3 linked regions of the Neodiprion lecontei genome follow. The protein of the gene in region 3 interacts with the protein of the main gene of each other region in a pairwise test. Links are inferred from orthologs where the notes say so. Each region holds a gene or a part of one and is shown on either strand. Other genes may lie near its edges. The genes, in order: protein abnormal spindle, myosin-VIIa and calmodulin.

Region 1 (9,785 bases), on a different chromosome or scaffold from region 3:
TTTTGCTGAATGTAGACAACACTGTACCTTAAAATCTTAAACTGCTTTCTAATAGAAGAACCTATTTTCAATGCTCTGTACTTGTGTTGTACTAAAACTGTTGTAGATTTGAGTAAATCATAATGCATTTTAGCTTGTTTTGCCGTTAGACAAGTTCTCCACCATGATTGTATCTTAACAGCAGCCCATTGTTTTGCTAGAAAATTTTGCCTCTGTATCTGTGTCAATTTTTTAGCTTTCCAATTTTGTTGGATATAGATAACATTTCGTTTTAAAGTCAAAAACTGTTTTCTAGTCAAATTACCAAGTTTATGTGCTCTGTACTGCCGCTGAATGTAAACTGTTTTTGATTTAAGTAATTCATATGACAGTTTTGCGTCATTGGCTATTAGGCAAGCTCTCCACCATAATTGTATTTTATTAACTGCCTGTCGTTTTTTCATAAAATTTTCTCTGTGTGGTTCCATTAATTTTTTGGCTCTCCACTTCTGTTGAATAAAAGTAACATTGATTTTCAAAGTTAAAAAGTTTTTTCTAACCGGTCCACCAAGTTTACGTGCTTTGTATTTGTGCTGAAGAAGAATTGTAGTAGATTTCAATAGATTGTAATAAGATTTTGCTTGTTTTGTTGCAATACAAGCTTTCCACCAGAATTGTATTTTAATAACAGATTGCTTTTTCGCCTGGTATTTTCTTTGTGCAACGACCATACGATATCTTTTTTGAATCATTATTGCTGCATTTCGTTTGTAAAGGAATTCTTGCCGAATCTGTCTTTTCAATAGCGTGGCTCTCCATTTACGTTGTATAATAACAGTGCTTTGTTTCAATTTGTTAAAATTGTCCGCAGTTTGAGACGCAGCTTTATTAGCTCTAAAACGACTCTGCAGGGAAACAGTTGCTGCTTTTAGAGAAAGAAAATAATAGCGTACCTGAAACCCAACCCTCCAGTTTCTCCAATATGATTGAATAACAATTGCAGCTTTTCGTTTCAAGATGTATGATTGTTGTACAGATTTTGCAGTTCTGATTGCACGCCATCTTCTTTGCACAGTGACAACAGATTTTTTCAGTGATACGAATGCATTTCTTTGGAGCCGACAAAGTTGAATGGCACGCCATCTTTGTTGTAAAGTTATCACAGCATTCATTTCCTTTTTCAACAAAGCTTGTAGCTTTCCCTTGACCGAACATTGCAGCCACCATTTTTCAATTAATAGTACAGCACCTTTCATCAGTAAGAAATTTCGTCGATCCTTCCTGTAAGCAAGTTCACGTATCCACCAGCCCTGAATAGTTTTAATTGAGATTACTTTCTTTTTATATTTTTCCCGTTCAATTTTCATAAGACGATTGCTTCGCCACTTGCGCTGTACCAATAGCGTAGCCTTTTTAATGGCTTGGTAATGGTTGTAGGCAGTTTTCTCAATTAATTTTATTTTCCACCAACGCTGGATTTTTGTAACAGCATCCTTAAGAATTAAATAAGTAGACACTTGGAGCCTCATCAACTGTGTAGCACGCCAGTGCTGCTGAATAATACGACAAGCAGTTTGTTTTTGTTTAAAAGCCACTACAAAGAGATTAGTGGCTCGGTAATTCCTCCAGAATTTTTGAAGTTTTACAGCAGACAATTTCATTTGTTTAAATTGTTTTTTTTGTTTCCACATTTGCACTGTAGCAATCCATTTCAATTGTATTACTGTAGCAGCTTTATTTTGCAATGACAGGATAAGCACTCTTTTTTCCCTGAGATATTTTAGTTGTCTTTTTGCAAGGTATGATCTCCAAGCTCTCTGAATTACCCAAGCTGCATTATGCTTTCTCTTTAATAAAAAATTTTTTATTCGTACCCACCAAAGAGTAGCCCGCCACCATTTCTGGATTATTACTGCAGCTTTATTAAAGTGTGGGGCTTGGAACTTGTATATAATCTGCCACAGTAACGAGAGCGTCTTTTCTCTGTGACCGTCTGCAATACATTTGGCTGTAATATTACCACAAATGTTATAGCCGGAACTGGTAAGTGCTTTCAAGGCAACATCAACATTGTAGACTTTTTGTAGTCTTGAGATAGCAGGTACTCTGCAAACAGCGGTCAAATTTCGTTTTCCTGTTATGAGCTCCATGATTCTGCACAGCCTTACACCATCTCGTAAATCGTGGGAAAGATTATCAACTGCGTAACTGTACTCATCCAACTCTGTTTGCTTGTGGACTAAAATATACCCATAGGGTTTCAAGACACGTGTAACATCACCAACACCACTGAGCAGCTCTTGAGAAAATCGTAGCAAAATCTTTTTGCTTTCTTTGTAAGCTGACTGTTTATGGAAGAGGCATGGATCATGCCCGATCAATTTATGTGTCTTCGCATAGTCAAGAAAATAAATTATGAAAAGAAACTTTTTGAGCATGAACTTATTCATGACAGTGAAAAATGTGGGAAGGCGCAGATTTAGGACTGTCGGATGCGAGTGAGTCTTGACGATATGTGGATCAGCAAAAAACCTTGTTAAAAGAAACTTACTCAAGCGAATAATATCATTATTTGAATTAAGTGGGATCGTTTCGCCATATATTGCTTCCAAACTAATTCGTAACCACAATGGGTTATAGCACAGAAGTAGTTCCAAAATCAATTTCTGCAACCCTGGGAAATTGTACAAAAAATTAAATCATTTCTTGGAAAAATTCAGTTGCTTTTTTCCATCATAATATGCTTTACCAATGTCTTTATGAAGATCGCGATCTTGTCTAATCACTAGAATTCCTTTTTCAACACATACAGTAACTTTTGATAATACGGAAACAACTTCATTGCTGCAAAGCAATGTGCAAGCAGCTCTCCGTAGTGTATTCAGTCTTTGATTAGTGTGATACCTGAAAAATTAGTGTGGGTCTTTAGCAAATTTGAAAATTGAACGTTTAAATAAAAGTATGTGTATAAAAAAAAAATACCTGGCAGATAGAGCTTCCTTAGTTTCTGCAAGTGAAACATCTTCCTTTGATCGGCATGTTTGCCATATTTTTGCAACATCAACTAATGGAGTATCGACATTAGATGTCAGGTGTTCAGGAGGAGTCAGTAGCATGTTTAACCACTTTTTAAATTCCAATTCCTGGTTTTTCACCCATTTATCATCATAATACAGAGTGCTGTAAACAATTATACCATTTTGAGAAATGCACGGAACTCAAACCAAATTTGATTTATCCTCCTTTAATTATCTGAAGAAATTACACTGCAAGAAACGGATCTTCTGTCGTAGTTGCAGCAAATGGGTCTGGATTGCAGAGTGTAGTGAAAAAGTCATCTGGATCATGTAGCTTCATGCTAAGTTCAGGTTCGAAGACTCTGTTCAATCCACTATTGATTCTCTTTCTAGACACTCCAGCAAGTGACAGCTTGGTGATTCGCACCCCAGGAATAGAGACTTTACCACTACCTGAAAAAATAAAAATTAAAAATTAGAGACTAACAGACAAATTATTTCTAGACTATAGTGAGCTGGAAATTACTTGGCTAAGCTTACATTTCAAAGATGTATTCATAGCAACTTTCTTTTTGAGATGTTGTATTTCTTGGATACTTTTTTCTTTGCTAATTTTAGAAGATTTCCTTGAAGGTATCTTTCTAATCGGTGAGGTTTTTTTGACAAGGTTATTAGTAGGCGGTGAAAAATCGAATCTGCAATTAGCCCCTGTGGTAGATATATTTGGAGTTAGGTAGTCGTTACTCGATTTAACATAAGTTTTGTTTGTTGTTGAAGTCAAATTGAGACTTTCCTCCCGAATTGATTCCAAACTTGTTGGCCCACTTTTTGCTATTAAAACAGAATATTGGTTCACTGGTTTTGCCCATAAATCAGCTCCCAAAACTTCCTGAACAGCACCAATATCGGACTGTGTGGTAGACAGATTAAAACTTTCCCATTTAGCTCTTAAATTGGAACTAAAGTCTTGTTTTTCATTGCTCCAAATCGGCGAAGAAGACGTTGCATATTTTGACATTCCAGGCTCTACAACTGGCATAACAGGAGACAGTGTTGCAAAAGTTCTAGAAAGCCTAGTAGGTACTAGGAGACTGCTCGCGCTTTGTTCAGGGAACTTATCCAATGGTACATGTAAGGATTCTTCAATATCCAAACCCTTAGCAATTTCAAAAGTGTCGTTCTTATTGTTTGCTGCAGTAATGAATTGAAAATTTTCAGCAGTTTTGGTAAGAGGTGTATTCGATGTAAAATTTATGTCATTAAGCAGCAATGAAAAATCTGAATTAGGATTGGATCTAGCCTCCTGTGGGGATAAAGAATCCTCAAAGCCATCTCGATCATCTTCGTTCATATGAGTACTGTGTTTAAAAAGAGGTGCAGTTACATAAGTCTGGCGTCGCAGTTCATGCATTTCAGAATTAGGTGATGATTCTGAGTTCTCTAAGGCAGTATTTTCCGATTTATTTGTATCGTTTTTGAACCACGGATGTGGAGTTAAAGCAAATACATCCGATTCTATCAGCATAGAAAAATCACGAGGTTTTGCAGTTGATACATTCAATGAATAATCTTGTCGATGGCCTAGAATCCCTGCGGAACTTTTCTTTGGAGTTTGCCAATCAGTGACTGGATAAGTAGAAATATTTTCCTTTCCTTGATATCTTGAAATGCCGGAAGACTTGTGCCTATTGCAGGGAGAATTGATATTGTTGGATACATTTTCAGACATGTTGAACACTTTTTTCAACTCTGATTTTTTTGTAGGGTGTGCATTCTGAGTAAGAATCTTTTTTCGATGATCCAATATATGTTGCTTATTTTCTGTGTGTTTTTCAACAACTCCATGTTTTTTCGAACATGTTGTAGAAGTTGTCAATGCAATGTCATACTTTATGCGACGACTGTCAGTTAATTGTATTATGTCTCGGAATGTACCATGTTCCCTAGCAGTCCAGCTTATGATCAATTCTACGTCCTGGCCAGCCTCAACTCGCAATTTCGACAAACTGAGCACGACGGATCGTTCCGATGGTGGTTTTTTTGTAACATGGATCTAGAATGATGCAAAAATTTTAACTTTCTATTAACAAAATGCTTGAATTAATAATTTATCTGGTATATCAAGAATAATTTCAAATGAGATTGCCGTTTAAGATACAATCAAAGCTCTCCGGTATTGTAAATTTTTCTGAAAAGCTTCAAGCTATTAATTACATTCAATAGACGATTGCTGGGGTTACGTAGGCTCAAGTAGGAATGCGCTGTTGTATTCAGAGCAGTTTCGATGTGGATACGAGTTTGGGGTTGAAAAGGAGCCAACAACAAGTTGATCTTTGTGTCTGGTTCTGTGTGCATGACAGCACCCTTCTCTTTGGGTGTTATGTTAACCTATGTACAAGTAACAAACAATTATTAGGTATTTAGGAATAATAAAAATGGCAGTTGTGTCAGCATAATTGGTTGTTGAATTCAAAGAACGATTCAGAAATAACTAAAGTAATGAAGTTGTGTCCTGCAATAAATTATGAAAAACGAGATGCTGGGCATGTAATTCATAACAACGTTAGAACGCTACAAATTTCCACGTAATACTGTAATTTGAATTGCTTAAAAAATTACCTCAAAATACATGGTTGAGAGTGAAGTGAGCTCAAGGTAATGTTGGCTCACGAAAGTAAGAAATACATCTGTAATGTTGTCGTTATGAATACACTTTGCCAAAAACACCCACTATTCAACGTTCAACGGTTTAGCCTCGCAAGATACAAGTTTGAATTTCAAGCTTGACAACTGTAAACGTACTCTAGGCGTTACGAAATGCGATGAATATAGGCTGCGTTGTATCAATGACCTCACGTCCGAGTTCACATCAAATCGAAAGTGCCAGAATTCATCTTAGGTATCCTTTCACATAGCAATCGCATATTCGATGGTTTCCTACCAATCATGTAATGGTGAGGAACGTTTTGTTGTTGTTTACATTTTTTTCTGTTGTCAGGCAAAACAATCAAATTTATTGTAATCTTGTTAATCGAAACGATTTTTGGTTACGAATCAAAATTGTCCCTCAATATGGTTCTACTCGGCGAAATATTTCCGAATTTTACAGCAAACTCTGATATCGGCCAGATTAAATTTCACGAATGGATTGGAGACTCGTAAGATTCATAAATCTCTTTCGTATAACCTAATAAATCTTACCGGCAGGGCTGAGTTCAGAAACCTTACCCGAGTGAACTCGGATATCATACTGTCTCTGTCTGACACATGAGATTAAACGAAGACACAACGATACTCGAGTCACTCGAGTAAGGTTTCTGAACTCAGCCCAGTCGTGTTGACATGATACTATTCTCTTTAAGATGTACTTCAAAGCATTTTTTTTCTCACCTCGCGGTTCTCCAAAAAGATATTCGAAATCAATCTGTTTTGTTTCTCATTTGGCAATCAGTAATATCCTTTGCTATGTATTCAAATTATTTTAATATATTGCATCTCGTAAATGATTACAAACGATTGATGTTTTTTTTTCTTGTTTAATATTAATCAGCAATTCTTGTTCTTAGCTGGGCAATTCTCTTTTCTCATCCCAACGATTTTACCCCAGTCTGTACAACAGAATTGGCAAGAGTAGCAAAGTTGATCCCAGAATTTGAGAAGCGAAGTGTCAAAGTTATTGCCTTGTCTTGTAATTCTGTTAAATCACACATTCAATGGATCAAGGTGCGAAAAGCTGATAACTTTCTAAAGGAACATGACTGAAGATCTATGTAATCAATAATTCCATGCCAAATAAAATGGTTATAATTCATTTTCAGGATATTAAAGCCTATGGTGAAATTACAGAGGCGAACTTTCCATATCCTATAATTGAAGATGAAAGTCGCACAATTGTGACAGCTTTAGGAATGCTCGATCCAGATGAAGTTGACAGCACTGGCTTGCCCGTTTCAGCTAGATCAGTTTTCATCATAGACCCTAAGAAGAAAATGAGGCTCTCAATCCTTTATCCAGCTACAACAGGAAGGAATTTCGAGTATACATCATGCCTATCTTTGTCTGAAGGAGGAAAGTAATCTTATGTTAATGTGTCATTTTTTTTTACAGTGAAATCTTGAGAGTTATTGATTCTTTACAGTTGACGGACAAACACAAGGTAGCAACACCTGTAGATTGGAAGGTAATTGAAATGAAGAGTAGATTGTGCATCGAGGAGGCAAAGTAGATCTTTTTACGCTAAGTGTAAGTTTGTAACAAGTCATAGGTGAGTGCATGCACGAGCCAGACAAATACTGTAATACACGTGGCGAAAAAGACTTTACCTCCATGGTGCTCACGATACTTTATGTAACAAAAGTGTGGTTGCAAGTGTGGCGGCGTTGTTTTTATAACGGAGTACAAAAAAGAATACTTTTAGTACTAACACATAAGTGTATTTTTTTTTGTTCTCTAGATACTTTTTTCTTCACTGTCACACAACAATTACATTATGTACAGTACACAAGCAAAAGACTTGCAAACCATACTAGTTACATCAAAAATTGAATTATCTCAAAATTTGTTACGTGCCAGCCAATAAATTTGACAAATTGGCCTTGGATGGTTTCCAAAAATTTTACAAATTTTCTAAATACCATTCACGAATCACAACTTTTTTAGAACGGAGATGATGTTATGATACAACCTACCGTCAATGACAAAGATGCTAAGTCTCTATTTGGGGATGACATTAAAGTTATAAGTCTACCTTCTGGTAAACCATATCTTCGTAGCATTCAACAGCCTATAGACTCTTAACTTTCTCCATGTACGTAATTTTTTATATGGAACAATAAGAACCAAATATTCAAGTATCAATACTATGTACATTCTAAAAAATGAGAGTAATTTTTTGTGGCAAGTGCCTTAGTTGCCTGATTTCTCATACGAACCATAAAATCTTCTTATGTATGTACAACATGAATAAATTTGTCTGCCAGATAAATTGCAAACAACGAAAGAAGCCGTTTATTATTATTTCACCTAACGTATAATTAAAAGTACACTGCTTTATATACACTTTTCCAAGTACACGTGTTGCTTACAATACCAATCGGATTCCTTAGTATTTACATGATTTTTTTAAATTATTCCTAGTTTACTTTAACTACCTTCATGAGTAAGATTATTATGCGTATTATTTTATAAGTATGTATATCAGTGATAGCAATAATCAATAGCATGTATATAAAACAGTCCCTGGTCAAAACCAATAAGATCAAAAAAGGTAATAAATTTAACGAAAAAGGGAAAAATTTTTTCAACTCGATACTACCTATGTTATCATGTAATTGAATGTTAATTACCACACAAACTAGGTATTACCTCGCAAAATACTGTCACATTTTTCTTATGTGTGTTTGCTTATCACACGTTCACTTGTAATAATTATTATACCTATAATTGTCAGCGTATTTATATTTTATTCGTATGTATGTACCTCGTGTCCAGCTCTCACGATAAATTACTATCAGTTTTATCATTAGTTTTTATCAGTAATATTAATAGTATCATTAACTTTATTATCATATATAATAAACTCGCTACAATCATCGTAGTCCATTTTAATACAATTATAACGATCACCGCTACGTAAGATCAGTCGTCGTTCAATGTACTCCATTAACGTCTTATTTCAACCTATTTATCCGCATATTCGATGATAAAATACATTCATTCATTTACTCTGTGACACCGTGACTTTCTCGTTGTTCGGCAAGCTGTTGTTCACCTTCCAACCGAGCCTGCCTCTCAGCCGCAGCTCTCGCCTGACGACCAGCACTAGATCGAAGATTCTTGCGTTCCGGAGGAGGATCATTACTTAATCGCTTGACATTCCGAGTTTTCTTTCCTTTGCCTTTTACATCGTCCTCGCTGCTTTCGGTGCAACTCGGTTTACTTTCGGTTTTTGAGGTGGTGGGCACTGGATTACCTTCTACCTGAGGAGGTTCTTCGGGTTCTTTAACGTTGCTCGCGTTTGCAGTTGGCAGAGACGGAGTCGTTTCTTCTTCAGTTGATTGCCTAGAAACTGTTGTTGGCCGTAAGAGCGTCTCTACATCAAGAGGCTCACTGGTAACAACAGCTTTCACATTGTCAGGTTCGGTTACCTTGACCTTCTTCACAATAGGTTCTAGAGTTACTTCCAATGAAGGTGGTGGATCGTAAGTTTGATCCGCACTACGACCACGCTTTGGTGGTCGTTGAAAATCCTCCAAGTTCCTAGTCAGCAGTTCTGCGCTTGTTCTGCTGAGCTGTTCCAGAGCTTCCTTCATCTCTTGTTCCTTAGATTTCCGTTCCAGCCTTGCTGACAAGTCAGCAATTTGGCTGAGCTCGATTATTTCTTTCTTGTCAGGCTCTGTACGCTTTTTGTCATCACTGTGAAGAGCCATTTCAGCATATTGTTGCAGACTCAAACCCGGATCTGTAACATATCGCGATTTCTTTTCGCTGTCTTTTCGCTTCATGGTATCTGCTATAGAATCCCTTTGGCGGGAAGTGTTTGACGTAGATGTAGTCTTGCGTGACGACGATGTGGATGTTGGTGGAGTGAGAAGTCCACATTGAGCGAGACTTTCATAGGCAGATGATACTCCACCAGGCTGCATTGAAAATGGATTGAGACCACCGAGACCGAGCGGGGTATATAAAAGACTAGGATTGGGAAAGAAGAATGGGAAAGGGGTTGTTGTAGAGAGGGATGACGATGTTGAGGTAGATGGCGCGGATGATTTACTTGTGGGGATGTCCATC
Region 2 (9,654 bases), on a different chromosome or scaffold from region 3:
TGCGTGATTTCTCAAGGAGATACTGCTCTATCTTGGCTCCCTCGATCACCCCGAGCTCGTTGAAATGGATGTCAATGTATTTGCCAAATCTCGACGAATTGTCGTTTCTTACCGTTTTTGCGTTTCCGAATGCTAGAGACAGCGATTAAGGTTGATCGGGTAAGCGATTGCTTAGCAGAACAGTTTAAGCATGATAATATGTAAAGAAATAGCATATTCGGAATCTCCTTGCCTTCCAGAATGGGATTAGCCTCGAGTATCTGTTGCTCTATCCAAGAATGTTTGCCGCTAATAGCAGCGAGGTATTGAAGTATTAGCTTGGTGCTCTCAGTTTTTCCGGCCCCGCTCTCTCCGCTGGATGAAAAAAAAAAAAAGAAAAGGAATATCAAGGCCTGAGTAATTTTTCCCTAATTCAGCACGCCCGGGCTTCATGATCTCGCTTAACTGTAAGTTTTTGGAAGTACCTGATCACAATGCACTGGTCCTGCCCATATCGTTTCATGTGCGTATAGCTATTGTCTCCTATGGCGAATATGTGAGGCGGCAGTTCACCTATTTTTCGATCTTTGTAAAGTTTTATTTGTTCTGCGGTGTAGATCGGCAATATTTGATAGGGGTTCACTGCGACCAATATGGACCCAGTATAAGTCTATAAAAGAAAGTGAGGATCATTCGGGTGCAGTGAAACTATTAATTGAGCCCCACTGGTTACTCTCGAATTTGATACTCCACAGCGTTAGTTTATTATTTAGTCTATTATCAGCAACACAGCGGAGGGAGGGAATATATTTAAGCCCTGGTAAAGACTCGCTCCTAGTCCATAATCGTCTCGAGCATTGAGCAAAGATATGTGTTTGCTTTATGAAACGAGTGATAAAGTTATAAGTGAATTGCACCGTTATGTCTTACTCGGAGCATCGTCTTACGTGGAAACCTGCGGAATGTTTTATCTCACAGATGGGTCTAGACTAATGAAAACTGCTTACATATATGAGATTCTCGTTGTAGCGGATGAGAAGATTTCTCAGAATACCAGCTTCGTGAAGGTCTCCGAGGCTGATCATGTCTTCTACGCCCTGGACGGACGTAGCGTGCATCGCCTTTATCCTCCGCTCTGGGGTCAGCCATTGTTCCTACAACAAGGATAACTAACGAGTATGAATAACCGATCAACGATTACCACCTGCAATATTTCGGTGTTCTGCGAATACCTTATTGTCGTCGTCTTTGACCTGGATTCTTCTACCCTCGGCCGATACGACGCGAGCCCCGATCGCTACGTCGAACTCCCTTCCAGATACGGGCTCGATCCATATGTAATCTCCCTATAAAATTAAGAACTTTTAAGGTTTCGCGCGAGCGCCGATTGAAAAGGTAATCGGTCAATTGGTGTTAATTGATAATCAACGGAGCAGGCTTCAAGTAACTGATGTAAATCATATCTTTCTCCACAGTATCGTATCATACTAGTTATATCAATAGTGGCGTGTAAACAGATCTTGACAGCAGTCCGAGCAGCGAAAGATCCTCGTTAATTCCTCGGCCCATTTGCTCAGCCACCGGAACATCGGAAGAGCACTTCCGCGCTCGGAACTGCTGCGGAGGTCGCCATTGCGGCCCACGCCCGATCGGCATTCACCATTTACAAATTCGGCTGATCACTGTTTATTTTTATTTTTTTATTTCTTCTTTTCAATGGGCCAATAATCCACAGAAATCAATGTACACGTATAGCTGCATGATATAATGCATAAAACGGAGCGAATCAGATAATAAACAAATGGAGTGAATAATTTGTACACAACGTCGGGTCAACCTACCCGCGTGACGATGACCATCTCTCAAATCTTGGCCGCTGTCCCGCCACCTGAAACAATAATCTATAACGTTATTTCACGATGATTGGTACACGATTGTTTCCCTCATCATCTCCGAGCGCGTAAAAGTGCGTATACTACGTATTATAATAATACGCGCAGTAAAACGACATTTATGGCACAAGCGTAAGTATGTAACGCGACAAGGCTGTTTATCAGGCAGCCTTCGAGTATCATAAAAATCCATCATCATTACATAGATCCCGCATTCCCGCGGCATATCTTACAGCCCACAGCGACTTGTAACGGGCACGGGTTTAATTCAAGATGCGCGTGTACTGTAAGCCTGTAACTTCGACGGTGTCGAAGAGGATGAGGACGTCGATACACGCACGTATTGTACGTTGTACGCGTAACATGCATACGATGCCCGGAGTGCTCTATTCGGCCTCGTACGCAAAACAATCACCGGCCACGAGGTGCAACGTGTTTCAGTGTTGGGCGTCGGGGATGTAATTACCATAAGCAATTATCGCGCGAACCTGCACCGGTACTTACAACAGTAGGTTGCTGCTGTTGCTGCTGTTGCTGCAGAATACCTAGATCGAACCTAGATATTTTATTCATTTAACGTGCGCAAACGGGCCCCTTTCCGTTTCTCATACCGATGCTGTTCTTCGAGACCCGTCGCGCCGCGGCGAGACAGGGGAGTTGTTATCCTGGTCAATCACCGTTAGCGCTCACGGTATAAGAGCCAACTTTAAACCTGTTTGCGAAGTGGGTTAGATATTCTGCCTGTATACATTTATACACGTACAGTAAGTGTGTACACAGCCGCGCAACCCGGCTGGATAACACCATCGTCGTCGGTTATATCCGCTTACGCGTTTATACATATAAGACTCGATAGTCGATAATTCGCGTCAACTGTACCTATGCTGAAAAATGAAGCGCACATCCGATTCGCTGACGACGATGTTTACGTGTGTGCGTTATGTCTAGTGCTCCGGACTAAATTGCAGATCTTTTCTTTTGCTTACCCTCCTGCGGCTCTCTTCCTCAACCGCGGTTCATTTTCAATATAGCTAATTATCACCAATCTTCATGGTACGTGACTCTGCACGTCGAGAGAGGGATGGTGAGAGTTCGTTGTATTGTTTACACAACGCGTAGGTATATCCGAGTGCGTGCGGTCATATTTCTATGCACTTGTTTATCGGATATATTATATGTCTTGTCTGCATGTTGGCTGTATGTGCAGGAGGGTACTAATGAGACTGAAGTTAGTAACGTTAAGGCCACGAAACATTCAGGGAAACATGATGATTTTCGCTAGTTTATAGTGACTTTGAAATAGTTCAGTTTTCGAAATATGAATACGTTTTGCCTTATTATGATTTACTGCATTTCAGACATTTCTGCAACTGTGTAATAACGATTGTTTCGAAACGTAAATCATTACAATAACGTTACTAACTTCAGCCTGATATGTACTACGTAACGCCGCGCGCACGTGCGCGACCCGAGTTAAGCACGACTCGTAGATGTGAATGTATAATTCATACCTAGGATAGGTATGTACATGCATACATACACATCGAAACTTGGATTTCGAGAATATCAGGCATTCAAATCACATTCGGAGCTCAAAATAATGTAATTAAACATACAGCTAACAGGTCTCAAAGTGAATCGGGATGGTTGAAACGGTCAACCACTACATCGGGTGGCGCGTTTAGTTACTGTTATAAAAACATGGAAAATCTCAGTAATTGAAGCAATCAGAGGTTAACAAATACTCCAATAGATATCGAAGGATCGTATACTTGTATGTGCATTATAAGCACACGCGCAACTGTGCCAACATTGATCATATGACATAACGAGCTGATCTGACCGAATGCCGCGTTTCCTGGGTACCTTATAAGTCATACCTAATGCATAGTATACATGCTTACATCACAGTATACATGCGTACTGAAATTGCGGGATCGTGGCGACGCGATAATTTTACACGACGTTTAATTATTACTTTTCTCAGGTATGTATGACTCATACTCATAATTGTTGTACCAAAAAAATTTGCACGCAGCTATATATACACCGTTTAGTACTGTAGGGAGGAAGGAAAAAGGTGTCTACGGTAGAGAAACCGGAGTCTGAAAAAATTGTTCTCCGAGTGTACTTGGCGCGAGAGCTTACCGAGTCTCTCGATACGCCCGATCGGGAATCCCGTACAACAGCCAGGGTATTAAGCAGCAGCAGCAGCACAGCAGTCATTGACTGCAAAAATATATGGGGAATTCACGATGAAGGAAGGAACGGTCAGCGGTAACGGTAGGCCTTACAGAGTTCGATTCCTGCTAGACGCGGCGGAGCGTGAGAGAGATGAGAAATATAATATTTTCTATACACACGATCGTGTATCTAGGCGAAACTATTGAAAAAGCAATTGACCGAGCTTCAAAAATCGGGCGTATCAGTGTATAATCCCTAAATGAAATACAGATCGCCGTAGTAATTTTCCAGTGTCTCGTGCAGAGATCAAGGTCCCTGTCGCTTCCCACAATATTACGTGTATGTATTAACATCGATTTGTACGTAACAGATGCTTAGCTCACCTTGTTGAATACGCGTAAGTAATTGCGGGTGTATTAATCGGCTAAATCCCAAGACTCCATAAGGCGGCACACTGCAGAACACTGATCGGTACTCGGCGACCTTTCATTCCCAAAATATTCACCGTCTATTACAGGTGTGGAAGATCGAATCGTTAAAGTCGCGGCGATTTACGTAAAAGTAGAGCGCTAAGAAGGCGCGCGTCGCGTCTCGAGACCGAGGGTTCGCCGATAACAAGATAATTGTAATGAAACAAGGGTAAAGAAACGATCGAGAATAATATCCGAGCAGTTTTTAACGCCGAAGTCTACCTTTAACCACTTATACGGCTACAACGGGCCGTACGGGGTACGCGGTCACCGGCACATTAACACCACACTCGCTCGGGGAGGTTCGGTTTAGATCGGAAAGTGACTGTGGCTGTCGCCTGCCTTATGCCTACCTGTAGCCAGGTGGAAGTGGCGGCGTGCTGCTCGCTGTGCTAGGCGAGTAAGGCGAGGCGCGGCAAGGTAAATAGCTGACTGAATGTTGACTGAATGGAGAGCGCGAGTCACGGCGATTCGACGACCGCACCGCGTTACGGCAGGTGAGCGAGAACAGGGGCAATACTTCGAGGACGAGAGGCCCCACCTGACGTCCCGATTTGAACTCACCAGGGGAAGAAATCCGGAGAAGGAACGAGGATGCAACGACTACCTGCCTGACCTACAGACCGCCTCGCTCTCACAAGGCGGATTCCTGATGATGATGATGATGATAACTGATTCGAGGAGGAAGAAGAAACCGAAGCTCGATCGGGAGGCAGTGTTTAGATTACACGCGTTTCTTAATTCTTTCCATTCGTGCTATTTAGGCATCGCACTTATTCCCGTATGCGAGTGAGGAAAACTTTCTTCCTCAGCCTCTTGCGAGATGAAGACACTTCATTTGCGAATTGTGATGAAAGTAGATCTTAAGGAATCGGAGCTTAATGTTAGTCAAGACGATACCGATTCTTCAATAAACCCAAGTTTTAATCATTAAAATAAAGGGGAACCCCAGGTCTACTGATGTATCTACATTGTATGTGGGCATTCACATAATTGCGCATGATGAATCAATTCCACGCAGTCCGAAAACGTTGCGAGCAACATATCAAGATTAGAGCCGAAAAACGAAAGATTTCGTTGGCAATTCCACTGCTGTTGGACTCACGCTGTTTTTGATGTCTTTTTCTGATTCCTGACGGTCCAATTAGTGGAATAAGAGCACTGCAAAACGAATCTCAGACGAAAACTTTGCGAGCTCTGAAAATCGCACAAAAGCAAGGAAACCCTTTGGATTTATTCAGTTGAAATTTAGCCGATTTGAAGAAATGGTTAAATTAATTCTTTGTGCACTATATCGACGTAATTTTTCGAGAGGAATCGATTGCACACAGTTCGAATACGGTGCGAGCATCTGATCAAGAGTTCCAGCCGAAAAATTAAAGATTTGTAATCTTTCCATTGCTGGTCTGTTGCTCGCTTTGCTAACTTTTTGTGCTCCTGAGGGTCCAATTAGTCTACAAAGGGCCATACAAGACGATACTAGGACGAAAAAATGTTTTGCTCGAAAAATAAGACTGAATTTTTACTGAAAGTTTTGACAGTTTTGAAAAATGCTGGAATCAACTCTTTGACGCGCTATAAATCATACATAAATGGGGCAAATAATAATCGTAACAATTAAGTTAACAAATAATTCTTTACTGTTCAGTATCTAGTATACAATATAATACAATTTATTTTTCACCATCCTTGATTCATGTGGAAATTTGCTGAGGATAATTATATTGGTGTGATTAAAGAATCACGGGTAATTATCCTCTATCGTATGTCGATCAAAAATCGTTTTCTCCAAGATAAAACCCGCATTTTTGTGATCAATGGGAAATAAATCCTCTTTTGTGATGTGTCAATTTGGATCACCGATATTGAATATCCGGGCAGTGGAGTCATCCGAGGTGGTTAGCATTGTCTTTCCATCGCTATAAAACCGAATCGGTCAATTAATTTAGCTTTCGTTTACGACCGTATAAATCGTTGATTGATTCTTACCGAGAGATTACCAAATCGAGAATATCCGCGTGATGTCCCGTATAGGAGCGAAGCTCTTCACCAGATCTTGCGTCGAACGATCTCACCACTCCGTCAAGACCCGACGAATACAACCGTGTTGTGTTCAGGTGCCAAACCAGCTTGCTTATGCCACTGCTCTGCTGGATCTCGTGCCGAATCATCTGAGTTAAGAAAATCCCACATTTAGGCATAGCGAATGACAAATAATCTTGCGATTCCACCTTCACCATTGGGACCCACCTGTTTTGCGATGTCCCATATGAATATCTGTCCGTTTACTGTGCCTGAAACAGCAACTGGATACTCCGGATCTTTGCAAAATGACACCGCTTCCACCCAATTTCCTTCGTTTCCCTCAGCATCTTCGTCGCCACCAGCAGAGACGTTTGTTTTCAGGTCTTGAAGGACACGGGTGACCTGATATTTGTTATTTGAACAATCAACGGACCGAGTTTTTTAATAACTTTGTTTCGAGCCGAATGAAAAATTAAGAGCGTTCTTACCTTGCCAGACTGCGAAGTAGTGAGAATAGTTTTTCCATCCATCCCACCTGATATTAGCAGATTATTATCAGAGTTACAGTCGAGGGCGGTTATCGTAGAGCTGTGACCAAATTCAGAGGAAATTGTTGACAATACTGCTCCGGATTTCAGGTCGAATACTCTCAGTGTACCGTCTTCATAACCAACCGTGATCCGTTTGCCTGTTATTGTATTATAGAGATATAAGTAGGTAAATCTCGATGCGGTGATAAATATCTGATATCATCTTACCATCACGCATAATAACCCCTTGTTCAACCCGCTGACCGTGACTCTGAAATATTTTACATTCTCCACTAGGTATTTTCCACATGTATAAAACCCCACTTGATGCTCCAGCAAATAGAATGTTAGCCATCGGATGCCACCGCATCCACTACAAGATAAATGAAATATAAAGAAAACTTAACCATCCAATGATAATGGAGAAGTTAATTCTGAGATTGCTTGATAACCGGAAGGACCGTAAAATCGTATTTTGTGCTGCAATTCAATTGCAAGCATTTCCTATTACTTAATTTTTCAAATTTGTTCAATAAATTTCAATTCAGCAGCAATCCAATGTAAAATTTACCATTTATCAAGATGGAAAAAGTTAGGAATGTGATAAATAAGCCTACCGTCATATCGCCCATGTTGTAGTCCCAGATAAGAATTCTGTTGCTCATTTTCCACACCTGAATAATGCCATTCATATCTGCAGTTGCCAGATAAAACCCATCATGGTTGAACTCCGTAAAAGTGACACTATCCGAATGACCGGTGCAATTGAGTACAACTCGTCCCGAGGAAACCTCCCAGACATATGCTTTATCATCTTCCCCACCGGTCGCAGCTAGCGTTCCATCTTTATTCAAAGCTCCGCAGAATATAGACCCTGGACACCGGAGTGAAGGCTTGTGTAGACGATAATCAATGTTGTCAGAATTACGGGATCAACAAACCTTGCCAAATAGCATAAGGAGACTTACCTTCGTGGTTACGAAAAACATAGGCAGCGTCGTCCTTAATCGGTTGTTCCTCGTAGCTTTCGGCCTCTTCCTCGGAGTCTTCGGTTCTCTCATCTCGTTCGAGGGCTTCTATGATTTCGTCAGCATCTCCGACGTATACCAGCTCATCCTCGTCCATTTCTACGTCGACAGAAGGAGAAGACGGCGGCGTGTCCATCAGTGTCATATTGTTCGCCGTTCAAACAGTTATGAGGCCACGTGAGATTATGCTTTACTTCATCAGCACGCGTTTCTGGTGTCCTTTGTGGAGGTTAGAATACCACGCGACTCAACACGGGAAGATCAGTTTAGGTTAAGCATTACACATATACAGGGTGGTCGGTAAAATCACCCAGATGAATATCTCCGGAACGAAATGAGGTATAGTACATGAAAAAGTTTGATACAAAACTTGGAGGGTTTAAAGGAGGAAGGATGATGCTGATGTCATTTGGATTTTGCAAGTAACGTCTGATTTCAGATAGGGAACACGTATTATGGGTATAATCAGTTCTGCTTTTGAAATCAAATTCTCTTGCACCCGCTCTGAAAAAACTTGAGTGCCTTCACATGGAAATACATAGAATCCCACGCATGATAACACGCCACTTGCCGCCCGCTAGGTCAGTAAACTTCTTATATGGGTGAGAGGACCTAACTCTCGCCTATGGAGCTCGACCTTGCTCTTATATTTTATATACGCAAATTAAGCACAGAAAACTGCCACACTTCGGTCGCGTTTTCGTTAATTCCGATCGAACGAAAATTGCAGCGAATACCTACACCGGATTCAAAATTGTACAATCACATGACTTATTGCTGTACTTGTCAATCCCTTTTTACGCGTACGGAATTTTTGTTGACTTTCCTTGATTAGGCGGGGGCGAGGGAGGGCGGAGGACGTCGTAATTCTTCAAAACTATTCACTACGTGATAAACAAAGAAAGGTCAAATTATATTAGAATATTCTTTTCTTTTTATTCGGGAGAGATAAAACGAAGCTTCTTAAAACTTCGAGTGTATTTTAACACATATTTGAAAGGTATGAGCAAAAATTTGTATCATCCAACTGTCGCAACACAGCAGCGTTATTAGCTGACCCGATAACTGAAGAATATATCTTTAGTCAATGGTTGACCATGAAGGGCCTAGACGCTTGACTCTGGAATCGGCAGGAAAGATAAAGTTCGTATTTCTTGTCTGAAATGTAAGCACTAATATCATTATACATCATATCATATCATCATACATCATACATCTTACGTCATATCATACATCATACATGGTATTAAAGTTCGAAACCAAAGTTTGGATGTTCGGATTTTCAGAAAGTGACGTCACCCAAAATTTTTTTTCTCTTGACGTCATCGATCTACAATAATCAGCTAGCCGAATTCCTCAGTCTGGAAACAACCGCGCAGTAGAGCGGACATATGAAAATCGCGCTCCGCAGATTTCGGGTACCGGCTACTCTACCTCTTGGATCCTGCGCTGTGGGTCCGCTTCCTGGTGCGCCTCGAGTTCCAGGACAAGCGCTCCGTAGTTTCGGCGTGCCAGCTCCACTAACTGGTGAAACTCGGTTTCTAAG
Region 3 (12,761 bases):
AAATTGCCACATTTCGGTCAACATTTTCTGCTTTTACAGAGACACGTGCAATGATCTCTGAGGTTCATTCTTATACACTGAAGACATGAATGAACTACGTACTTTTAACAAGGAAAGTATATCTTTTATCTACTACAGACTAATTCATCAATGTCAGGTGCAAACAGTTTCTACTGTTAGTCATGCATTAATCAATTCTGAATGCCTTTTTCTGACAGGTAACTCTGCTGAACTAAATTGATAAGATTAGTTTGGGCTAAGAAGTAATTTAGAGGTGTCAATAAACTTATCCTAGAAGCAAAAACAAAATGCAAAAAACTATTTTAACAAGGTACTAAAAAAAAAAAGGAACCGCAAGCTATGTAACACATTTATGTAACTACTGATAAAATAAATTCTTTGACCGAATTAAAATTGCAGTATATAACAAACTGACGGTGTATATGCAATTTTTATAGAACTTTTATGTTTAGTTGCAATTAATGAGAATATCAAAGGCTGCTGTTGATAAAAGTAAAAACGAATGAACTGCAACGAATGTCTGCAACGTGAGTTAGGCCAATGGTATCAAATAAAAGCTGATATAAGCAAAACGTGTCGAGGGTAGCTATCGAATATGTTACTTGATAATGCAAATCTGATTTATTTTAATTCACAAGGTGAACATAATGTCATGAGAAGAAAATATAAGTTGGTTGCAATAAAAATAAGTGCTTGCCTGCGTTTCGGTGAAATTTTTCCATGGTCCGGTTAGATATTCAGTTACAAACGGTTCCGACGGTCTGAATTCCTTCAAAAATCCAAACACGCACAGAAGTAACGATATTTTCTTCCAAGTCATTGTTATGCCTTGTTTTCTGTCATTTCAATTTTAAACGTAATTTTCTCCAGCCGTGACCGTCCGACGAGCCTGACCTTCACTTCACGCCTCGCGTCGTATGCGCTAGTACAAACGTGGCTGGCCCTTCGCGCATTCTTATACCATGTATACCTGTCACATCTCGAATCGCCACATCTGCACCAATGTTCGCCACAACGGTTGCTATTTAGAAGTAATAAAAGCATTTTCTGATAACAGCAAAATCATACGCACAGATAATTACAGAGATCGTGGTGGTCGAAAGAACTAAAATAATCGAAATACCGCGAGCACATCATCCTCCAAACTACGACCCCGGTTCGCCACCTGAGATATGCCATTTTGGTCCCGTTTAGTGGCGGTAATCTTATAGTTGCGTTCCGGAACTAGCTGGTAGTGCTAAAAACTCCCTACGACAGATGCAGAGAGTCACGAACTTGGCTGCGCAAAAGAGATAAATAAAATTGCTGACAGCATACTCGTCGGACAGAGAGAAACCTCATCGGAAGGCACCTTCCACTTTCCGTGATGGGTCTACGGCTGTCGTGTGTATTTGTCTAGACCATTTATTGTCGGTATGTCAATCAACTGTGGGTGCGTTCCGAAATTAGTTGGTAGCGCTAAAAACTCCCTAGGACAGAGGCAGACCTACTCACGAACTCGGCAACGCAAGAGATAAAAGATTGTCGACAGCATTGGGTGATATCGGAACGTATCGGAACGCAATGCGACAGATCACCTCACCTGGTGAATTTTTCTGGTAGACAAATTCCTGTGAGCTTGGTGCTTTTTCTCTTCCTCTAGAATTCTCTATCCGCGGTCTCGCTGTCTCTGTACAAACTTGCGATAGATGAATTTTCAAAGCACCAAAGCGTTTGATTTCAACAGTTTTTATACGGTCATATTTCACATTTACTTCACACCAAGTCCATCATATCATAGATAATGAGGATTTAGAATAACAAGAAAAATCCTTAAGTTGACGAAAATTTTGAAGAAATACAATTTTGAACATAAAAGCTGGGCTTACGTTCCGTATCATTGTGATAATTTTTGATGAAATCGACGAACCTGCGTCATTCTAGGCAGTTAAATCGTTATATACAATGCGTATGAAATCAAACTATTTAGGGGTTCCCTGGTTGATTTCGACGTATCGTATATATCTCCAAAGATCGAAGTCCACCCCTATTCCATATGCAAGTCTGAACAAAAACAGTCTATACATTTTCATTTGACGCAGAAATAAAGAAATGCCACGGATTCTTCGAAATCGCAATAACAGATTAGTACGTTATCTTTGCACATTCAAAAATTTTCAAGTTAGATTACGCAGGTACTAAGCTTGTTGAGATGCCGACTATTTTACGATTAACAGTGAAACATGATTAGCATTTTTTCTGCTTCGAAATAGCTATGATCAGCATTTAACTAATCAAAGGTAAAATAAAATCACTAGAAAAAAGTTGACTTACAAGCTTGTACCTATACAAGTCTTGTTGAATTCGGCTGGGAGGAAAAAAACGGAAAAAGTGCATACCGAATGCAGATTCCTTGAAAAAACGGGGCAACTGATAATAACGGTCAAGTGATATCAATAATGTCAGAAACGTCAATGAAACGAATAATAGATATATACCACTTGTTCATGTGTATGTTAGTCAATTAATAAGATCTTATAGGTAAAATTTTGAAAGTTTGTCTGAGTTTTTTCTGATATCAATAAATCGATTCATAGTCTGCTTTTGAACGATTGACTGCAATCTGTCGTAGATTGATAATTTGGACCACAGTTGTGGATTCACAGTTGGCACTTAGATATATAGGCCTCATGTGCACTTCTTAATGTGTTTTTACTTAATTAATTCATTTCTTGCCACTTTCAGGTACCAAAATGCGTGATCAATTAATCAGTTTTCTAACTATAGCTATTCGTGATTGCTCATGGATACATTTTTTTTTAACCTGACATATTTTTTGTGAAACCCATAGTCTATGTTATTCCCAAGAATGTAAGGAAGACGTGGGTTCAAATTCTCTCTGAGAACACAGCGGGTCCATCTGTTTCTAGTTTTTCACATAGAATGCCTTTTTTACAGTACATAATTCTGCTATAAATGCATCTAAACAATGGTTTGAATATACTAACAGTGGATGTTAATAAGTTTTTCTCACACGTACATTTTAAAGTATATCAATCTGCAATAATGGCATCAATGCTTCTTATTTGTAATAAAACCTGGACGCCATTCTAAATACTGTACAAATTATACTATACAGTGATACGCCTGGCGTCTGGATATACATTTTCATGACTCAGCAAGCCATGTCATAATTGATCAATGCGTGATGGAGATTGATTGAAACACAATACGGTTATTCGTCTATTATTTTAGATCTTTCTTCGTAAAGGATTATCAAGATAAAAAAAAAAAAAGTGGTAGCTACAGTTTTCAAAGGATGCAAGGAATTCCAAAAGGAAATGACAATTTTGTGACCTAAAAATGAGGATACATTTATTTTGTCTTTTATAATCAATGCAACCTAGGTCACCAAATACATTATTAAATAAAGACTGTGGAGGAATTTTAATTTAATATATAATATATATTACATGTATTATGACTGATCCGATGGTCTTATATCGGCGTTGGTTAAGTAACATTAAGACGTGTGATGGCTCCAGCCAACCAGTCTGTTTTGCACCATTAACCGTGCAATAGTCAAACTAGTGCCAGAAAGTGCACCGATCGATAGTTCGAAAAGTGGTGCTGATGTTGTGCAGTGCAGTCCTCATTTTGAGGAGAAGTGTGTCGTGTTCGTTTGTTTGTCTACAAACATGTCAAATGTTGGTCATGTCAGGTTTAATCGAGTGAGGGCGTTATTCATACAGTCCGGGATGAGAAGGAATGTTAACAGGGTCAGTCAGACACGATCCCTGTGTGTCCCCACTTCCTTTTACTTTACGTGGTGATCATTATGGTATTAAAAATTAAATAAATATAAATATATATATTTATTTATGTACATATGTATGCATATACACATATGCATATATAAATAATATATCTTTATATTTGTTTTTGTTTGTTTTGTTGTTTTTTTTTTTTTTTGAAAAAATCAAGCATTAATTAATATTTCGTTTGTTGGTTATCTTTTCTTGTTTTTGTTATGTTACGTTACGTTTTCTCACATATTAATGTATAAATTAAAAGTATAAACCAATACTATTTTAAATTACTATTAACCTATTGATGGGTTGATACATTCCTCTGTCACATTGAGCCGAGTATCATGCCACGAAGTATTATTTAACACGGACATTTTTTGTAATTTTTTTTTTTTACATATCAGAATGTGATTCCGTTATAGGAGTTATAATTTATAATACTACGATACATAAATTCCAGATAATGTTCAAATAATGTTCCTTTTTTCTTCTCTCTTTTTAACTTTTTTCCCATTAAACACGGACATGTAGAATTAAAACAAGATACGAAGGGTAGTTTCAGAGTTATTATTAATTCAAACACAATACTTGAATATATTTCTTAAAAAATTACACAAACTTTGAACAAAATTTGATGATTATCGCAAATGTTCTATAGTACTTTACTTATTACTTGTAAATTACATCAAACTTTATTCAAAGGTCTACTCCAACTTTTCATGATACTGTTAAATATTTCCAATTCACGATGTATTAAGACTGGAAAGCAGAAATGCAGTTTCAATATTTATACTTTAAGATTTTGTTGCCGACGATGAAGATGGTTGGTATTAATTATCTTTATTACTTATTATTATAGTATTATGTTAAGTGTTGATGATAGCTTTATATTCTGGTATTCACTTCATTATCAACACCACTCCTAGTTGTGAATTATTCCCAAACATGCGTTTGCATTCACTTTGATGTCATCATTGTGACGAATTCTGTAAAACATAAAAAAACAAAGAACAGAAATAAATACGTATATTTAATTACAAACTTTCGCATTATTTCACGCAAGTTAATTGAGTCATTAAACAATCAAAATGTAGATAAACTACAGGAAGTTGTCTATCTAAATTCTAGTGCAATATTAACACTCATAAATAATTATATTTGATCGTGCTTGAATGTTTGTAGAAGATATTTGACGAACATGTCAAGCAATTCCACGTGTAGTATTACACTTTCATTCACGAAATAATTGTGGACACAGCATATCAAAGGTTAGATAAATATTAGCAAAGCTACTCTTATAACGCATGTGGGTTCTGTGGTAGAAAAGAAGAACACTGAATGAATTACATTTGTCTCTGCCAGAACGGTCTTTTCAAATGTCTTATATCCAGACAAGTGGATCATTAAACATTAATGTCTGAACCATTTCAAAATTTGGACGAAAAGATAGATTATCTCATGTATTTTCTAAGTTCGGTAATTTTCACGACATAAACCTGAGGTGAAACCAAAAACAAGCGGAAAGAAAATAGTTTGAAGACTATTTACCTTCGTAATTGACTTGCCCGTCACCGTCGATGTCAGCTTCTCTTATCATCTCATCAACTTCTTCATCTGTTAACTTTTCACCAAGATTTGTCATCACATGTCTCAACTCGGCGGCTGAGATAAAACCGTTACCATCCTTATCGAATACCCTAAACGCCTCTCTGATCTCTTCCTCGCTGTCAGTGTCCTTCATCTTACGTGCCATCATCGTTAAGAATTCGGGGAAATCGATGGTTCCATTTCCTGAAATGATTTTCAAAGATGTAAAAAATAAAATAAGAATGAAGAATCTGGATTTTTATTGGACATGATATACACGGGGAATTATAAATGGAAATGAACAAAAAATCAATTCAATTAGCACTGAATAATACACACCATCAGCATCTACTTCATTGATCATGTCTTGCAATTCTGCTTCCGTTGGGTTTTGACCAAGTGATCGCATTACTGTACCCAATTCCTTGGTTGTTATCGTGCCATCGCCATCCTTGTCGAAGAGGGAAAACGCCTCTTTGAATTCTGCAATTTGCTCCTCTGTGAGTTGGTCAGCCTGTGTATAAAAGTTTTAATGTTTTTACATTCAATACATAGAGCCATGTCATAACATTTCTTTAAATTAAAGGGTGATTTAAGGGAATATATGATGCGGGAATACCTGACCATTTTAATGTGACCGTGACCTTTATCATTTCCAATTTCATTTTCCTGTTACTATGTTGTAGCTCGTATCATGGTCTTTGTAATAAAAAAAAAACCGTGTGCCCTTAATTGGTAACGGGCCTGTATTTAGTTTGGGAGATAAGAACAAATTCGAATAAAATAGAAAAAGGACTATAGTAGATCACAACAGGATTTGAACACAAACTGCAAAATTTCCATGTTGGAGATTTTTCTTCTGGCGACTTTTTTTTGCCCTTCCAACTTTTTGTTTGAAAGGGAACAAAATGAATCTGCTCATATCACCAAAATTAAATACATGCCCATCTTTCTTCAACACAGGCTGCAAAGTTAAGTCTCTCATGAAGAATTCACGGTGTAAATTTCAATAATATGAATTCCAAACTCACAATACTTTGGCCTTCAATTTTGCAAAATGTAAATCTATCACATCATTATTAGGTGAATGCAGAACTTGCAATAAAGAAAGAACCAATGGGAACGAATAGATCTCGATATTCCATAGAAAAAATGTCATTACTGAAATCATTTGTGAAACATCAAATGATTCTATGTTTGTTTGAAAAAAATGTCTGTTACAACTATTTAGATTTCCTAGTTCAAGTAGCATCTGCTCTGGTTCCGAGTCAGAGAGTTGATTATTCCAAAGTCCGGACATTAGTATCATTATGCTTCAAAAACTTAATCAGAGTCGTGATAAAATTGATTTATCAAAGAATTCTTTCAGTAAATGTCATTCGTTACAGATATTCGCTTTTGCAATGAGTTGCCATTAGAATCGTGATCTGATGCATGGAAATTGAGTCTTGGGATGTTTTGTCCTTACCACTAATCATTGCAATAAAATTTTATAGATATGAAATAACATTTATATGACCTCATAAATACAGGGCAATAATTGTGCTTTAAATACGGTACAAGTGTAAGTAAGAACTTATCAATATAATGCTGAAAAAAAAAAAAAAATAAAAACCGGGCATATGTTTATTACTACCTCAGTTGGACTCAGGTCTAAGAATATCACAATGTGCAAGAAGAAAATTAGAAGAATTCTGCATAAAATTTAATCCTACAATTTCTGAGTAAATGAAATGTATCTTCTGAGTCACTGTACACCACTAATGACGTTGCAGGCTATAAGTTTATAATAAATTCATGTGGGAGTTTTGATGCAGTTGTACATAAAAATCAAGAATTATACGTATTATACGTATGGACGAGAGTTCTCTACATTTATGTGAACTGTTTTAATATGCAAAATACTTCTTGACCACATCCGATATAAACTCAGTGACCAATAAATGACCATAACAATAACTTACAATTAGTTTCATTCATGCATATTGCAGTTTGCTAGATCAGCAGCATTAAAAATCGCTAAAATGAAAATGTCTAAGATAAATATCTTTGATCGCAGACACGTTTCAATAGTATTCCTGGTAATCACTGGTAGTATTACAACAGTCACGCCTCAAAGATAAAATAAATATGTCAGACTGTTATTTATTGATTAATCGCATTAGGCTCAACTGATTGAAGGATAGATTTTATAAATTATCAGATAAACCAAATAGTAGTCCCAAAAATTGCCAAGTGTCAGTGATAATGATTTAAACCAGATTTTGATAAGCAAATTTTTACACTATCCAGCAGCATGCAATAACCTGGTTAAATAAAATACTGCTACCAGTGAACAATTTTGTTTTTTGTTTTTTTTTTTCGACCTTTCACATTCAGCAATAAACACGCTTTCTATAGCAGTTGGTACAGCCTGTGCCAGAACCTAAGCAATCAATTAGATCATCGCTTTAGACGTATTTTATAATTCATTTTAATTAATAAGTATAAGTTAATATTAAAGTAAAGAAAGTTATTTTCACCACCAAGCAAGTAAAGCCCGAAAATTTATCTTCTTAATCTGATTTTAAGAAACATATGCGTCTATGTTATTTTCTTGTTAACGATTTTTAGTCTTATCTGTACTTTGCCCAATGTATTTTAAATGAAACTATCACATCAAGTGAAGGCAAAAAAAAAAAAAAATCAATAAACGCGTCGGAGAAAATCGGACAAAATCTTTGTACGAATACACATGTATAAATTATATTTATAGACGTACCATATCGCGATCTTGTTAAAACCTTTCGGCTTAGGGTATTCGGTGATAACGAAATGAAAAAAATAACCTCACTACTCTTCACAAATCGAAGGTTCGAACGGTTCTGCCGTTTGCGGCAAAACGCTGCAGGTGAACCGAACAACGTCGCACAGTGGCAGGTTCGCGAATTCTCGGGGTGGCGCCGGCCAACGGGTCGAGGGTTGGGAGGGGAGGGGTTAGAGGGGGTGGGGGAGGGGCAGGAAGGAGAAGAGGTGGCAGCCAGGGACCAGGAAGCAGCGAGAAGGGGGTTGGGGGGAGGGAGGAGAGGGACAGAAGCACGGCGGGACCGGAGGGAGAAAGAGAGACAGAAGAGGACATGACAGAGCTGTACTGAGCAACTACGAAAATCAATAGCGGGTGTATAAGGCCGCCATAAAGGCTGCCATACTATTTACCGGCCTTTATATGGAGCATCGTGCGCAAGCTTGTATTCATTTATTTGTTTATTTAATCGTTTACTCCGATGATCGTAGAATCCAGTGAACATGGAAATATGAATGATGTTCTATTTACAGGTATATTATGCACGAGTGAGCACGAATAGGTGGAAATTTTGTGACTAACATAATTTCCGCTTACACGTGGGTAACGTATGTGTATAAATATAGGCTTCTCGATAAATGATACGAAATGAGAAAACGGAATTCGAAGAAATTTAGGACGGTAGAGATCAGATTAATGAAACAGTGTTCCCGGTGGTAGATTGTTAGAACCATGATACAAGTATCTCACCGTAGAATTGCGTCGATCGTCTAGAGCGGTAATAATTGTTATGATGTAATATATTGATGGTTATACGACTGAAAATTATCGTTTGGGCATCGGAATACGTGCATGTTGTAAAGCAACGTAACAGAACGTCGAGCAGGTAAATGAAAAATGGAGAAAAAGAATAGCGGGATTTAAAATTGGCATGATTCTTGCGAGGTAGGCGGAATTTTTTCCGGCATTCACAATTGCCGATGACGAGAGCACCTCGAGTCGCGACCCGGTAAGAACTGTCAACTGGTGAACCTTTAACGGTACAACGCCTTCATCAACACCAGAGTCCGGTGACAAATTGATTCTTTACAGTGTCTAGTAGATTGATCAGATCTACCGATATTTTGATAGACCACAAGTTACGTCGGATTCATTTCAATTAGAATGAGATTAATTATTAACGATAATTCTGTAGCTATATATTTATGTGTATATACATATGTGTATATATAAAATCGAGGCAAGCCTAGCGTACGATATAACGGAATAAAACGCAGTACATAATTCGGCTAGAATGTCGAATAGAGACAGATCTCGAGCAGCGAGCAATCGGCCGGATTCCATTACTATGTTGCGGGTAAAATCTGTGAAAGTTGTCGAAATTTCGATATTCCAATGATTGCGAATAGGTAAATGATATTGAATACGATTAATCGACAACTCACCATTGCAGATTCTCCTAGATATTACCGGCACACTACACAAACTCCACTACGAACCAGCGCCGCTGACACGAAATACACTTCGGACAATAATGGAAGAGAGGGTCTCTCAGTCGTCCAGGCAATACTGTGTTACTACGCCACGATAGCGATGTCGCACATAACTGTGAATAAAACTTGCGCGGTGTTTGAAAAAGTTTTTATAAATTAAATGAAAAAACTATAAAACACAGGAATAATAATTTATCATACATTTATTCACCGATGAACCATATATATCGAGGTCTGAGTTCGGATTAAGTTTCAGCCGCGCATGTGAGTAGGCTTTATAAGCGCTGGGTGCGGTCTTGTTTACAAGACTTCCTTGTCGACTCGTCTAACGTCCAAACTAAGCTCAATTCTGATTGGCTGCTACGCACCTGCAATGCGTCAACCACTAGAGCCTGTACAGTTTGCGAACGGGTCAGAGTGGTGCTGGCAGGGCTAGCTGGCTCTGGGGTTGCAGCGTGCGCTGCCGGGCTGCCTGCGTCCCTACATTTTCATCCCTCCTATCCTCCTGCGTCCTTCGTTCCTTCATTCCTCTCGGCCCTTTTCATCCTTCTGTTATATTTACGTACCCCGCCGGCATCTCGCCACCACCAACGCTGCCGCATATTATGCATTCAAATGTATACGATGTATAATTATTGTAAAATCCTCGCAGCTGAGAATTTTTAAACAATTTCTAAGTTGAATTTCATTCTTATTAGCCTGCAAGCCGTCTCGACAATAGAAAGTAAAGTTTTTCAAATGAGAATTAAAATTTTTCTTCATTATTTTGCATTCCATATTATCGCTTTATTTTTACCTGTTACAGTATGCGAATTTTTAGGTGCGAAAATATTTAGGTTGAAAGCGAGGAAATTTTGTTGCATAAAACGACGTAAATTCCTAATATGCAATATAATGGTTTGGGGTGAAATTTTCTTTGCGTCTATCGAGACGCGTTCAAACCGCATACCCAGTGCGCATTGGCTATGCGCAGGCGGGCGCGCAATGCGACACAGGACATAATCTCGTTAGAGATTCCTGAGAAGTGAGTTAAATCTTAAAACGATTATATTTATCAATGGTCTAGCGCACGAACATGCAGGCTTGACGATATTTATTATTGACTCTGAAAGCATTCTATAATTTAAACTATTATCTTGTCGTATGAAACGAAATAATCGCGAAATAGACGAGAAATCATATAACTGTAAAGAGCACATCGTCTGTAGTTGAGACCTTTTTATCTGTGCACTCGCAGTTTGGATATCTAGAATCGGAACGAATATATTATGTATGTAACTGAAAAAATTATTTGGTGCAAAATAAACATTGATATATCATTATTTTGAAACGTATCTAGGCTTGGAAAATACGTCAAAAATGCCAATGCATGATAATGTCTATTTTAATTATGAACACATTTTTCCTTGATCAATGTGCAGTACAAAACTAGAACTCACACGTTATATGCTTATACGCTCATATAATTCAGTATACATTTCCGATTACACGTGATAAAGTAATAATGATCCAGCATAATGACTGTGCTCAGAAGAAAACACGTCTGAGTGTATAAAAATTAGCGAACACCCACCCATTAGCCGTTTCATCTCATGTCTAATTTTCGTTATGAAAAGTCTATAATAATTATATACACGTGATAACGTTGACGTGTTGACTACCCACATGCACACGGTGATTATCTGCCGTGAATCATATGGGTATATACGTGTTTCTTTTCTGAAAGCCTGTTATGTAATTTTGAGTCACACTGTAGTCACACCGTTAAATGGAAGAGGTAACAAGGCGGGGACTACCTGCTGATAGAGATAAGCATGGGAGAAATTCGTTAGGGCGGATGACTAGTGTGGATTTTTATCAGATAACAGATAATCAGCGGAGATGCTGTCATTGCTATAATTGTGTAGTATTTCAAACACGATTATACACCGGTTGAAATATTGGGTTTTTAAGAAAAAGTGTAGGAATAATAGACGCCTGTTACTCATTTTATCTGTTTATAGTATAAAACATATAGCATGACGTAAAGCTTTCGTGTGTAAAATCCGTCAGCGTACCTAAAAGTAATCAATGTTTAGAGCCTAAACGGGGCATCGTGAATAACGACATAATCATAAATATCAATAATTTCATTCCACGCGATTTTCGATTCAGTTACACGTATATACCAGCTACCTGGCCTGATTATTGTAACTGTGTCATCGCAGGTATCAGCTGACGTCGCCCATCAACGCAGCGCGCACTGTACAGAGAACACGTACCTGTGATGTGTCTCTGAAATATTCGCGCGTTTATACACTTCGTGTAGAAAAACCTGTGAAAATCTACCTGGGATCGCATCGGATAATATTATCCAGCCTTATAAATTATTTACCTTATTCCTGTAAAGTAAGCCGCGTGCTTGTGCTCGGGTATGTATAACACGTACACGCCGCTACCAAAGCCGAAGGTAAAGATCAATGCTGGCCGACACATACATGGTAAAAATAAAAAAAGTAAATTCAGCGATAATGCTTGTTCCTAGGGGATAAGTGAACCAGATCTTCAACTGAATATTAACAACAACTGCAGGTCGGGACTATAAATATATGCTTCCGATCTGTACGTCCTTGAAAAAGTCAGGCTCGCTGCAGGTGATCATAAATACTGCCAGTTCGTTGAAAAGTTCGCGGAATAATTAATAATAATTGGTAGCCGGCTGTTGGGGTAGTTAATCAGTTAAATAAGGGTATGCGGCAACTCTTGACAGATAATGATTACCGGCACACAACGGTGCGAATATAAATTCCTACTCTTATTGCAAGCTCAAGCTTTGGAGGGATACGCGAAGGGCGTGCTACACAAATAAATGCTCGTTATTATACTGCGACTCCAAGGTCATCTGAACCGGCAACGTTACCGCAATTAATCTGCTTGATTAACTAAACGGCACAAACTTTTGTAACGTATTATATTTTTGAGCAGCCTTATCTCTGTGATCTGGAATACTTCTTTATTGTTGTACAGCGAGATTATAACCATAATCGCGTTCTTACATAAATACGTAGTACATGTACATACGAGTATATGTACGATAGCTATATATGTATA

Evidence for each region.
Region 1: the proteins of calmodulin (region 3) and protein abnormal spindle interact in a two-hybrid assay, tested with the Drosophila melanogaster proteins (2 studies listed by BioGRID). The link is inferred for Neodiprion lecontei from reciprocal best matches to the Drosophila melanogaster genes Cam and asp.
Region 2: the proteins of calmodulin (region 3) and myosin-VIIa interact in binary tests that used the Drosophila melanogaster proteins (3 or more experiments, as listed by UniProt). The link is inferred for Neodiprion lecontei from reciprocal best matches to the Drosophila melanogaster genes Cam and ck.

What each region holds. Positions count from the first base shown.
Region 1 is NC_060261.1:34,028,214-34,037,998, reverse strand, and holds the start of protein abnormal spindle, read right to left. Parts: upstream 5,804-9,785; 5' UTR 5,628-5,803; coding exon 5,616-5,627; intron 5,385-5,615; coding exon 5,211-5,384; intron 5,050-5,210; coding exon 3,537-5,049; intron 3,450-3,536; coding exon 3,245-3,449; intron 3,160-3,244; coding exon 2,962-3,159; intron 2,884-2,961; coding exon 2,729-2,883; intron 2,654-2,728; coding exon 1-2,653. Other genes in the region: peroxiredoxin-6, read left to right, coding at 6,069-6,154, 6,563-6,719, 6,815-7,032, 7,104-7,176, 7,656-7,793; chromodomain-helicase-DNA-binding protein 7, read right to left, coding at 8,717-9,785. UniProt on the Drosophila melanogaster protein: Required to maintain the structure of the centrosomal microtubule organizing center (MTOC) during mitosis. May have a preferential role in regulating neurogenesis. Required for germ cell mitosis and oocyte differentiation.
Region 2 is NC_060264.1:23,438,613-23,448,266, forward strand, and holds the start of myosin-VIIa, read right to left. Parts: upstream 4,974-9,654; 5' UTR 4,879-4,973; intron 4,860-4,878; exon of another isoform or gene 4,439-4,859; intron 1,881-4,438; exon of another isoform or gene 1,868-1,880; 5' UTR 1,839-1,867; coding exon 1,821-1,838; intron 1,326-1,820; coding exon 1,212-1,325; intron 1,134-1,211; coding exon 987-1,133; intron 650-986; coding exon 465-649; intron 355-464; coding exon 233-354; intron 133-232; coding exon 1-132. Other genes in the region: angio-associated migratory cell protein, read right to left, coding at 6,372-6,444, 6,515-6,696, 6,776-6,952, 7,039-7,238, 7,309-7,453, 7,698-7,954, 8,049-8,253. UniProt on the Drosophila melanogaster protein: Myosins are actin-based motor molecules with ATPase activity. Unconventional myosins serve in intracellular movements: can function in cells as a single-molecule cargo transporter.
Region 3 is NC_060263.1:23,722,617-23,735,377, forward strand, and holds calmodulin, read right to left. Parts: upstream 9,925-12,761; 5' UTR 9,627-9,924; coding exon 9,624-9,626; intron 5,911-9,623; coding exon 5,736-5,910; intron 5,601-5,735; coding exon 5,358-5,600; intron 4,796-5,357; coding exon 4,767-4,795; 3' UTR 4,126-4,766; downstream 1-4,125. Other genes in the region: thiamine transporter 2, read right to left, coding at 719-841. UniProt on the Drosophila melanogaster protein: Calmodulin mediates the control of a large number of enzymes, ion channels and other proteins by Ca(2+). Among the enzymes to be stimulated by the calmodulin-Ca(2+) complex are a number of protein kinases and phosphatases.